Rattus norvegicus: one gene and its partner. The protein of the gene in region 2 purifies or fractionates together with the protein of the main gene of each other region. This does not show direct contact. Links are inferred from orthologs where the notes say so. Each region holds a gene or a part of one and is shown on either strand. Other genes may lie near its edges.

Region 1 (4,936 bases), about 39 Mb from region 2:
GTGACTCTAACCAAGAGAGGGAAAGATCTGTATGACAAGAACCTCAAGTCTCTGAAAAAGAAATTGACGAAGATCTCAGAAGATGGAAAGATCTCCCACGCTCATGGATTGGCAAGATTAATATTGTAAAAATGGTCATCTTGCCAATAGCAATCTGCAGATTCAGTACAATCCCCATCAAAATTCCAACTCAATTCTTCATAGAGTTAGACAGAACAATTTGCAAATTCATTTGGAATAACAAAAGACCCAGGATAGCAAAAACTATCCTCAACAATAAAAGGACTTCAGGGGGAATCACCATCCCTGACCTCAAGCAGTATTACAGAGCAATGGTGATAAAAAGTATATGGTATTGGTACAGAGACAGACAGATAGACCAGTGGAATAGAATTGAAGACCCAGAAATGAACCCACACACCTATGGGCACTTGATTTTTGACAAAGGAACCAAAACCATCCAATGGAAAAAAGATAGCATTTTCAGCAAATGATGCTGGTTCAACTGGAGGTCCTCATGTAGAAGAACACAAATTGATCCACTCTTATTGCCCTGTACAAAGCTCAAGTCCAAGTGAACCAGGAACCTCCACATAAAATAAGATGCACGCAAACTAAGAGAAGAAAAAGTGGGGAAGAGTCTCGAACACATGGGCACTGGAAAAAATTTCCTGAACAAAACACCAATGGCTTATGCTCTAAGATCAAGAATCAACAAATGCGACCTCATAAAACTGCAAAGCTTCTGTAAGGCAAAGGACACTGTCATTAGGACAAAATGGCAACCAACAGATTGGGAAAGATCTTTACCAATCCTACATCTGATAGAGGGCTAATATTCAATATATACAAAGAACTCAAGTAGTGAGACTCTAGCGAACCACATAACCCTATCAAAAATGGGGTTCAGAGCTAAACAAAGAATTCTCAACTGAGGAATACCAAATGGCTGAGAAGCACCTAAAGAAATGTTCAACATCCTTAGTCATCAGGGAAATGCAAATCAAAACAACCCTGAGATTACATCTCACACCAGTCAGAATGGCTAAGATCAAAAACTCAGGTGACAATAGATGCTGGCGAGGATGTGGAGAAAGAGGAACACTCTTCCATTGTTGGTGAGATTTCAAGCTATTACAACCATTTTGGAAATCAGTCTGGAGGTTCCTCAGAAAACTGTCATAGTACTACCTGAGGACCCAGCTATACCACTCCTGGGTATACACCCAAAAGATTTTTCAACATATAACAAGGACACATGCTTCATTATGTTCATAGCGGCCTTATTTATAACAGCCTGAAGCTGGAAAGAACCCAGATGCCCTTCAACAGAGGAATGGATACAGAAAATGTGGTACATCTACACAATGGAATACTACTCAGCTATCAAAAACAATGACTTCATGAAATTCATAGGCAAATAGATTGGACTAGAAAATATCATCCTGAATGAGGTAAGTCAATCAGTAAAAACATACATGGTATGCAGTCATTGATAAGTGGATATTAGCCCAAACCTTGGGTTACCTAAGATACAATCCACAGATCACATTAAGCTCAAGAAGGACGACCAAAGTGCAGATGCTTCAGTCCTTCTTAGAAGAAGGAACACAAATATTAATAGGAGGAAATATATAGACAAAGTTTGGAGCAGAGACTGAAGGAAAGGCCATCCAGAGACTGCCCCACCTGGGCATCCAGACCATATATACATACAGCTACCAACCCTAGACAATATTGCTGATGCCAAGAAGTGCATGCTGACAGGAACCTGAAATAGCTGTCTCCTGAGAGGCTCTGCCAGAGCATGACAAATACAGAGGCAGATGCTCACAGCCAACCATTGAACTGAGAGTGGGGTCCCCTTTGGAGGAGTTAGAGAAAGGATGGAAGGAGCTGAAGGGGCTTGCAACCCCATAGGAAGAACAATATCAACCAACCAGAGCTCCCAGGGACTAAACCACCACCCAAAGAGTACACATGGACAGACCCATTGCTCTAGCTGCATAAGTAGCAGAGGATGGCCTTTTGGGGCACCAATGGGAGGGGAAGCCCTTGGTCCTGCCAAGAATTGACATCACAGTGTAGGAAATGTCTGGGCAGGCGGGTGGTAAGGGGTGGGCGGGGGAACACCATCATAGAAGAAGGGGGAGGGGAGGTGGAATAGGGGGTTTATGGAAGAGAAAACAGGAAAGAGATAACATTTGAAATAAAAATAAAAAAAAATCCAATAAAAAAACTTCAAGATGTGCATTCATTATCCTGAGTACATCATCTAAGAGTATATTTCCCAGTTATTAGGCTTGTGTGTGTGTGTGTGTGTGTCAGACACACACACACACACACACACACACACACACACACACACAAATTGATGTCTTTATTTACCCTGATATGTTCCATTGTAAGCTACACTTGAGCACAAATGCATCAATGTAGGCATGCCCATACGTTCCTCTATCTAAATGTCTATGTACAGAATATGTATGTATGCTCATCTATTGACATTTGTGGGGAGCACTCCCTGGGCTCTTCTCTAAGCTCCTCCAAGCCTAGTACTTCTCTCAACTTCCTTTAGGGTGCTGAGTATCTTAAACCCACTGAAATTTCTAAGTGGCTAGCACTCTCCTCAATCGAGGGTCTTCAAGGGGCTGGGGTTTCCCCGAGTTCCCCCCTCCCCTCTCCCTCCCGGACTAGGTCACCGCCCTGCTTCTCCTGCTCATGGCACTAGGAAAGTCAATTTCAGAGACCAGCTTTCACAGGGAAGCACGGGCAGCCTGGCAGGGTTGGGACTAGAGAACTCCGCTGAAGAGAAGCAGCAGGTGGGCTAGGAAATTCCGTGTGTAGGGCGCTAGTGGGAAGCGGCTCCTTGAATCTGTGGCATTGGGGTGGGGTGGGGGGAGCCCATCTAGTCTGGCCAGGGGTCCCATCCTCACTCACCTTACCAGGGTCCTCAGACTTGGCTAGGCTGTTTTCAGCTTCACTTTTGCAAGCCCGCAGTCTAATTTCACTTTCAGTTTCCTCTCAGAGGTAAGCTTAGAAGGAAGAGGGAGGAGCAAGGGGAGGAACAGGGAGTTGACTGGCAAGCCTTGGAGGCAGATAGGGCGGAGACTGGGCAGAGAGTGGGAGGAGAGTGGTCAGAGGTGCCAGAAACTGACTTCAGGCCACAGGCAAAGGAAAACTCAGTTAATGTCTTCTTGGGTGCAGTCTCTCTAAGGCCTCCTTGTCACCTTTAACAGACTGTAATCTACAGGATATCGACCTTTGACACTGGTCTTTACTTCAAACCTGGGAGCATCTGGGAGAAGAGGTCTGGATGGGAGAGGAGTTACTATCTTTTCTAGAGGGATCTTCCCACAAGACTGATAGTTCTTTAAAATCCGGGTGAAAGATCCTGGCACTGTTTTTGTTAACATATATTAATTGCACAGTATGCTTGACATATGCCCATTTCCCATCCCTCTGTCTTCTCGTTTTGCTCCCCTCTTTTCAAATAGTCTAGGGTGAGAAATTTATTCCTAATGATGTTAGGGTATGTGTTGTAGCAATGAAGGGAGACTTGTGGACATTGATTGTATTATAATTTGCGCTAAAACCATCAGGTGAATTTTCCTTGCCATTTATCATATTTAGGAAATAAAAGCATTCCGTGCTTTGAAATTTCCAGCCCTGTTTAAGAGATCCTTCTCAGTAAAAGGTCACCAGGCGACATCTACTGTCTAGATTGTGCTGTTGTATTGGGACTTGATTCCAGGAACACAACAGCTCCAGGAAGCAGAATGAAAAACAGAGTCAAGCATCTGAAAGGACAAAGGCATCTGCAAACATCAGAAAATGATTCTGCTTCACACCACTGAAGATCTGTCGCTATTTCCTGCAGGCAAAGAACTTGGGTCCCAAAATAAGGTAGTGGTAGAGTCAATGTCTATTTTTCTATTTACCACTAGATGACGCCTTATCTGTTTCAGTTTACACACTGGATAGAGAGATTAATACACACCCTAGGGTTGTGGTGATAAATACTCTATAATGTGCACACAGGATGACCAATGTAATATACTCATAGCTGCCTCAGCTCCCACCTTGGTAATTATCTGAAGACCCAAACTCCTGAAGAACAAAATCTCCTTCACTCTCAGCTAGTACTTTGATATCTCAACCCTCCTTCCCCTGGGCGAAATGACTCAAGTATTTATTTGGGAAGAGTTAATGTCATTGATAGGACTGTCTAGTACATTATCAGTGTTTTGGTGAAGTGAGATATTTATGCTTTGGGTTTTAGTCAGGCTTTACTAACTTGAATGTGTTTCAGTAACCCAAGTTGTCTCAGTGGTACCCAAGTCCACTCTGTCCAGGACAGGAAAAGCATTCTTTACTCATTTCTAACTTAGTGACCTAAGAAGCCCCAAAGATACAGAAGTAGAAGGAGGACAGCTGGGAACAGGAAAGGACCAATGGGTGTGGGAGAGGCACAAGAAAGATGACAGAGGGTTGACCAGTTGCTGGTTTTGACAGTGTATCAGAATTATGGGGTAGCCCTTTACTCTCATAGTTAAAACATTTGTTGATTCCTATAATAAAATGTCACAGACCAATTCATAAAAACCCATAAGTCTCTTTTTTATAATTGTGAAATATGGAAGTCCGAAGTAAGGTAGCAAAAGTTTGCTCGTCTCAGACTTGATCTCTTCCTCAAAGACAAGGCCTTCTCTTTGCATCTTTTTTCCCCATCTTAATTAAATTGGGTATTTCTTATTTACATTTCAAATGTTATTCCCTTTCCTGATATTCAGGCCAACATCCCCCTAAGCTCTCCCCCTCCCCTTCTTTAGGGGTGTTCCCCTCCCCATCCTCCCTCATTACTGCCCTCCCCTCAAGAATTCCATTCACTGGGGAGTCTAAGGATCCTAATCCCTAGCCTCACTTCTTGTTACAG
Region 2 (4,927 bases):
TTAAAGCGTTTGTATCCAGTGAGAGGTATGGTAACCCAACCAATTCTTTATTGTAAAGATGAGTGCTACAAAGGAGGCCTAGTGTGTAGGGAGTGGGGGGTCACCTTCTTTCAAGGGACTCCACAAGGTCCACTAGAGATGACATATAGCCAAGGAATAAGCCTGAGCCAGGGCAGCAGTGGTTCTGAACTCTATTGGAAGTTGGGGTTCTGAATCAAGCCCACTGACCCAGGTCCATGAGGAAGTGTTCAATGTCATCGTAGAGACTATTGGTGCTAGACAAGCACAGGCCAAGACTGCTGCTGTCCAGAGAGGACACACCCTCACGCTGCACGCCTTCCAGATGTGTCTTGCACAGCCATGGCTCCAGCTGTGGAAAGTACATGTTAGGGCTCTTACCCAGCTTACCCAGCAGCCCACACATCTTTACTTGGCAAACCCAGGCTCTACCTTCACCAGGATCAGGCTCTTCTCCTTGGGCCTCCCTGCTGACAAGTCTTGCCCAAAACCCAGGTAGATGGTGTAATGTGGTGATCCTTGTCGCCTCCGGGCCCGGAACTCCTCCAGTTCTGTTAAGGAGATCACTCTGGTGAGCAGGTTAAGAAAGGCTCCAAGCCCCAAAGGACAAGCACCCCAGACAGACACCTCACTGACCTCGGAAGAAAGTGCTGAAGTCAAAGATGGGAGTATGGCAGTTGCGCTCCAGCAGCTGGGCTGGGGTGGAGGGGTTGGTGGAGCCCATAGGGCTGCCCACCTCCCAGTACACCTTGCACTTGCCCATTCGCAGGGCCCATAGTGATGGCCCCCGAAGCTCCAGCTGAAGGCCTGGAGACACATGCTGTAGGAGAGTCTCTGTGTAGTGCAGCTGCTTCTGATCTGGGAGCTCAGCGGGGCTCGGAAAAATCACCGGCTGGGGCTCTGAAGTTCTTATTGCTGAGCCCACGGGGCTATACAGGAACACGCATCTGGGGTGCCCCACCATTGCCTGTAGCACTGTGCGGCCCTTGTACATGATGGTCACATCCAGGGACCCAAGGTTGCGCTCTGGGTATATATAGACCAAGTTTGAGTAATGGGTATGGGTAGGCATTTTGCCCACACTCCTTGCCAAGGACCTATTTGCCTCCCACTGGGGGCACTGGTATGAGGGTCAGTGGAGCAGTATTCTGCTTAGGATCTAGGTATGTAGTAGAGAAGAGCTGTGCTAGCACCTCAGCTCTACCCCACACCAACAGGTCCCCGGTTCCTCACCAGTCATCAGAACTGGGTGTTGAAGCCTGGGGCTGGAGGTAGCTTCCATCTGCCATGCTGCATGGGGCTCCTCAGGAAGGTGTTCTTGCTCCTGGCCTGAGGACAAGTTGGAGCTGCCTGTCAATCTTACCCCTGTCATTCTAGCACCCTTATCTTTCCTCCTCCCAGCAAGGGCTCTGTGGTCCTCCCTCTCATAGCCTTAGGCAGATGGGGTTCTCTAGCTTGACCCCAGCTCTGTAATAGTTCCTGTCTCTCACCAGAAGCCTGTGGTGGGACTGAGTCCGCCCTAGACTCAGAGTCCAGTAGGTGGCTGTATTGCAGAACCTGAAGCAAGAGGTCCCCAGCATCACCAGAAAGCAGAGGGCTTGGGGTTTGCAACCCAGCATTTCCTCTTGCCAGGAATGATCCTAGGGACATACCCTGCAAGAGAAAGCATTGTGGTAGGCGGCTGCCAATCGCCCACACCTAGAAAGAATGAACCTGACTGTACCTGTGTGGGTAGGGCACTGCTGAGGGTCACTTCTTCCCTGTTCTCCAGAGCTGGGCCTGAAGGAGAAGGGAGAGGATTCGGATCTGAGGCTGATGTGTAACTTGGTTATGGTGCCTGAGCAGTTCCAAAAGTTCTCTATTCCTCACACCCTCTGTTCCCAAAGCACCTCACTCAGCCCAAGGCTCTGACTTAGGAGGAAGTGCAAGCACACGTGCACGCGCGCGCGCGCACACACACACACACACACACACACACACACACACACACACACACACACACCTTGAAAGGAGAGGAACTGAATCTACAACTAGTTTCAAAAACCACAAGTCAAACCATTGAAGCAACCAAAACAGCAGCGGCCGTGTACGGCCCTCCCTATCTATGGCCCTCCTCACCAGTTGTAGATCCAAGCTCCGGGCTAAGTTCATACACCTTGTGCGGATCAGCAGGGTCCCCTGAGTTGTCTTGACGCAAGATAAAGCGCCCTGTGCTGCGGAGTGCACATCGGAAGTTGGTCTTCCAGCCTCTTCGCTCAGCAGCCTCAGCCTCTGGGGGTGGTAAGTTAACTCCACTAGGTGGCCACCTCCCTCGGGCCACAGCCCAGGCCTGAAGGAGAGGAGAGAGCATGGGTTAAGGCTGGATTCCCCAGGAGTTGTGGCGGATTATAAGGAGGGCAGGATTGGGTACCACCTTGAAGATCTGTGCATCAGCTTCATCCAGATCCCTACGGCTGAAATGCTTCCAGGGCACACGGAAGACTGTGTGAGCCTCATTCAGCCACTGCAGCCCCTCGTACCGGCCACTACTGACCTCACCCAAGAGCCAGTCTCCGAACAGCACTCGCTGGACCCCCCTGCAAGCAGGGCAGCCATGCTAGGATTAGGGCCAATGCAAGGGATATGGGACCCAATACAACCAGGGTAGGCATGTTCTCACCTCACTTCGGCCATTGCTCCTTCTACACGGGCAGTCTGGGAGAAAGTAGGTGCTACTACTCTGATGACTTGCAGTCACTGAGGCAGTATTACAAATAAGGTAAGAGTCCCTTGGGTGTCTTTATGGTTTTAGCCACAGATAGTGTAACCAAGTTTCATAAATATGTTTTAAACGTTAGGATTGTTGGTCACAGGTGGGAATTGAAGTTTCACAAGTGTGACCCAGGTATTAGGGTGTTGAGGGTCACAGATGAGGTTTGAGAACTTATAGCCACCTAGGTTCCCAATTTAAGTGTGGATTCCTAGGCCAAGGTGGCTGTAGATGTGACTACAGATGTAGCAGCGGGAGCGCACATGTGATGTCACAGGTGTTGATCCAGCGTCCGGGCCTGGATGGGCTGTCACAGGCTGGACCCTGCAAAGACATGTTGAATAAAAGGGGCGGGCCCAGGCGAGTGAAACGAAACTGCGTCTCGGGAAAATGAAACCTAAACTGTCCAAACAGCTCAACAGCGCAGTGAAGCTGCGGGCCTCACTGTCTCCGGGCCTTCGCGGACGGGTGCAGTCCTCGACTTCCACCCGACCCTCGCTCAGAGCCCAACCCCTACAGATTCAATTGCAAATGCTTCCCAGGGAGTCTGCCCTCCTGTTTCCCCGAGTCTCTCTTCACTGTCCTTCCCCAATCGCTCACTACTCTGTAGAGGGGACAAGAATTTCCCCTGTGGCACTATCTCACCTCCCTCCCCAAGTGGCCCAAGGGTCCCACATACCTGGTACCGGAGCCGCCGGGACGGTTTTATCTCAGTGAGAAGGAGGTAGCCGTGCTTTTATAGTACTTCGGTCAGGGGCGGGGTGGAATGCTGCAGGGTGTGGCCTAAGGGCTCCACACGCCCCTGGGGTGTCACAAATCTGAAGCACTCAGCTCTCAGATTCAGTCTCCCAGGCCCTTTGTAGATTCACTGAGAGAGGCTGACCCTACTTTGGACAGAATGGTCAAGTCTTGGAGGACAGTAGGAGTGGTAGGTGGAGGTATATTTGCTGGGCTCAGCTCCTGGTGGAAGTGTAGGAAAGGTCTTTCCCTGTACCTCCTCAGGAAAGCATATCAGGGTAAGGCAGGGATATCCACAACAGTTTGTTTGTTTTGTTTAGCTTGCAGAAAAGTCTTAGAAAATGGAGTCTAAAGAGAGGCTATGGTACAATTTGGCTTAACACTGAGAATGGTACAGATAAGAATATACCATCCAGGGAGAGGTTGAAGCAGAAGGGTTGGGGCCAGCCTGCTTTAAAGAGTAAGACCCTGGGAGCTGGAGACACTGCTCAGTAGTTAAGAGCCCTGGCTGCTCTTCCAGAATCAATTCAATTCCCAGCCATCATATGTTGGTTCACGACCATTTATAATGGAATCTGATGCCCTCTTCTGGCAGATGCACTCATACACATGATATCACCACAGTCTAGGATTGTGTCCATCCTTCATAAGAGAACCTTCTCATTACAGTGGGTAGAATCCTGTAACTGGCCCAAGAGCAAAGAATAAGCGATGCTGGAGCCGTCTCTGTCACCCTCTCCAAGGCTCAAGGGACATCTCCCAAGGTGGTGTACAAAGAACGAATGCCCGAAAATGGAGTTGTACAGCAAAATATGTCTCTGAGCAAGACATAGCCATTCCACCTGTGAACTCACTGCACAAGACCACCACAAAAGTGGTCCCGGTAACATTTCATCATAGGTGTGGGAGGGGCCCGGTGCCCCTCCCCCACTATTAGCAATTTACCTCTAGGGGAAGGGGGGTCATATATTTAGTGATAAATTGTTCTTGTTCCAGCTGGGTCAAGAAGCTAAAACTAAGAAATAGCTCAGTAGTCAGGGGCTCTGACTGCTCTTCCTAGAGGACTGGGGTTCAAATCCCAACACCCACATGGCAGCTCACAACTGTAACTCCAAAATTTGACACCCTCATACAGATATGTGTGTAGATCATGCACTAATACACATAAAAGTAATTTTTTAAAGATTTATTTATTTATTATATATAAGTACACTGTAGCGCTCTTCAGACACATCAGAAGAGTACAGATGGTTGTGAGCCACCATGTGGTTGCTGGGATTTGAACTCAGGACCTTTGGAAGAGCAGTCAGTGCTCTTAACCACTGAGCCATCTCTCCAGCCCCAAGTAATTTTTTTAAAAACACCAAAACCAACAAAAATTTTAAATAGAAACTAGTTAAACTCAGGGGGATACTGAGAAGA

Evidence for each region. The genes of interacting proteins can lie anywhere in the genome.
Region 1: the proteins of Irf7 (region 2) and Trim21 purify together in Homo sapiens (affinity purification with mass spectrometry; 3 studies listed by BioGRID, with this or other methods). This does not show direct contact. The link is inferred for Rattus norvegicus from reciprocal best matches to the Homo sapiens genes IRF7 and TRIM21.

Annotation. Positions count from the first base shown.
Region 1 is NC_086019.1:166,396,369-166,401,304, forward strand, and holds the start of Trim21 (E3 ubiquitin-protein ligase TRIM21), read right to left. Parts: upstream 3,004-4,936; 5' UTR 2,941-3,003; intron 1-2,940. UniProt on the Homo sapiens protein: E3 ubiquitin-protein ligase whose activity is dependent on E2 enzymes, UBE2D1, UBE2D2, UBE2E1 and UBE2E2.
Region 2 is NC_086019.1:205,796,930-205,801,856, forward strand, and holds Irf7 (interferon regulatory factor 7), read right to left. Parts: upstream 3,095-4,927; 5' UTR 2,692-3,094; coding exon 2,678-2,691; intron 2,595-2,677; coding exon 2,432-2,594; intron 2,348-2,431; coding exon 2,137-2,347; intron 1,798-2,136; coding exon 1,742-1,797; intron 1,672-1,741; coding exon 1,509-1,671; intron 1,348-1,508; coding exon 1,252-1,347; intron 1,045-1,251; coding exon 655-1,044; intron 570-654; coding exon 451-569; intron 371-450; coding exon 215-370; 3' UTR 27-214; downstream 1-26.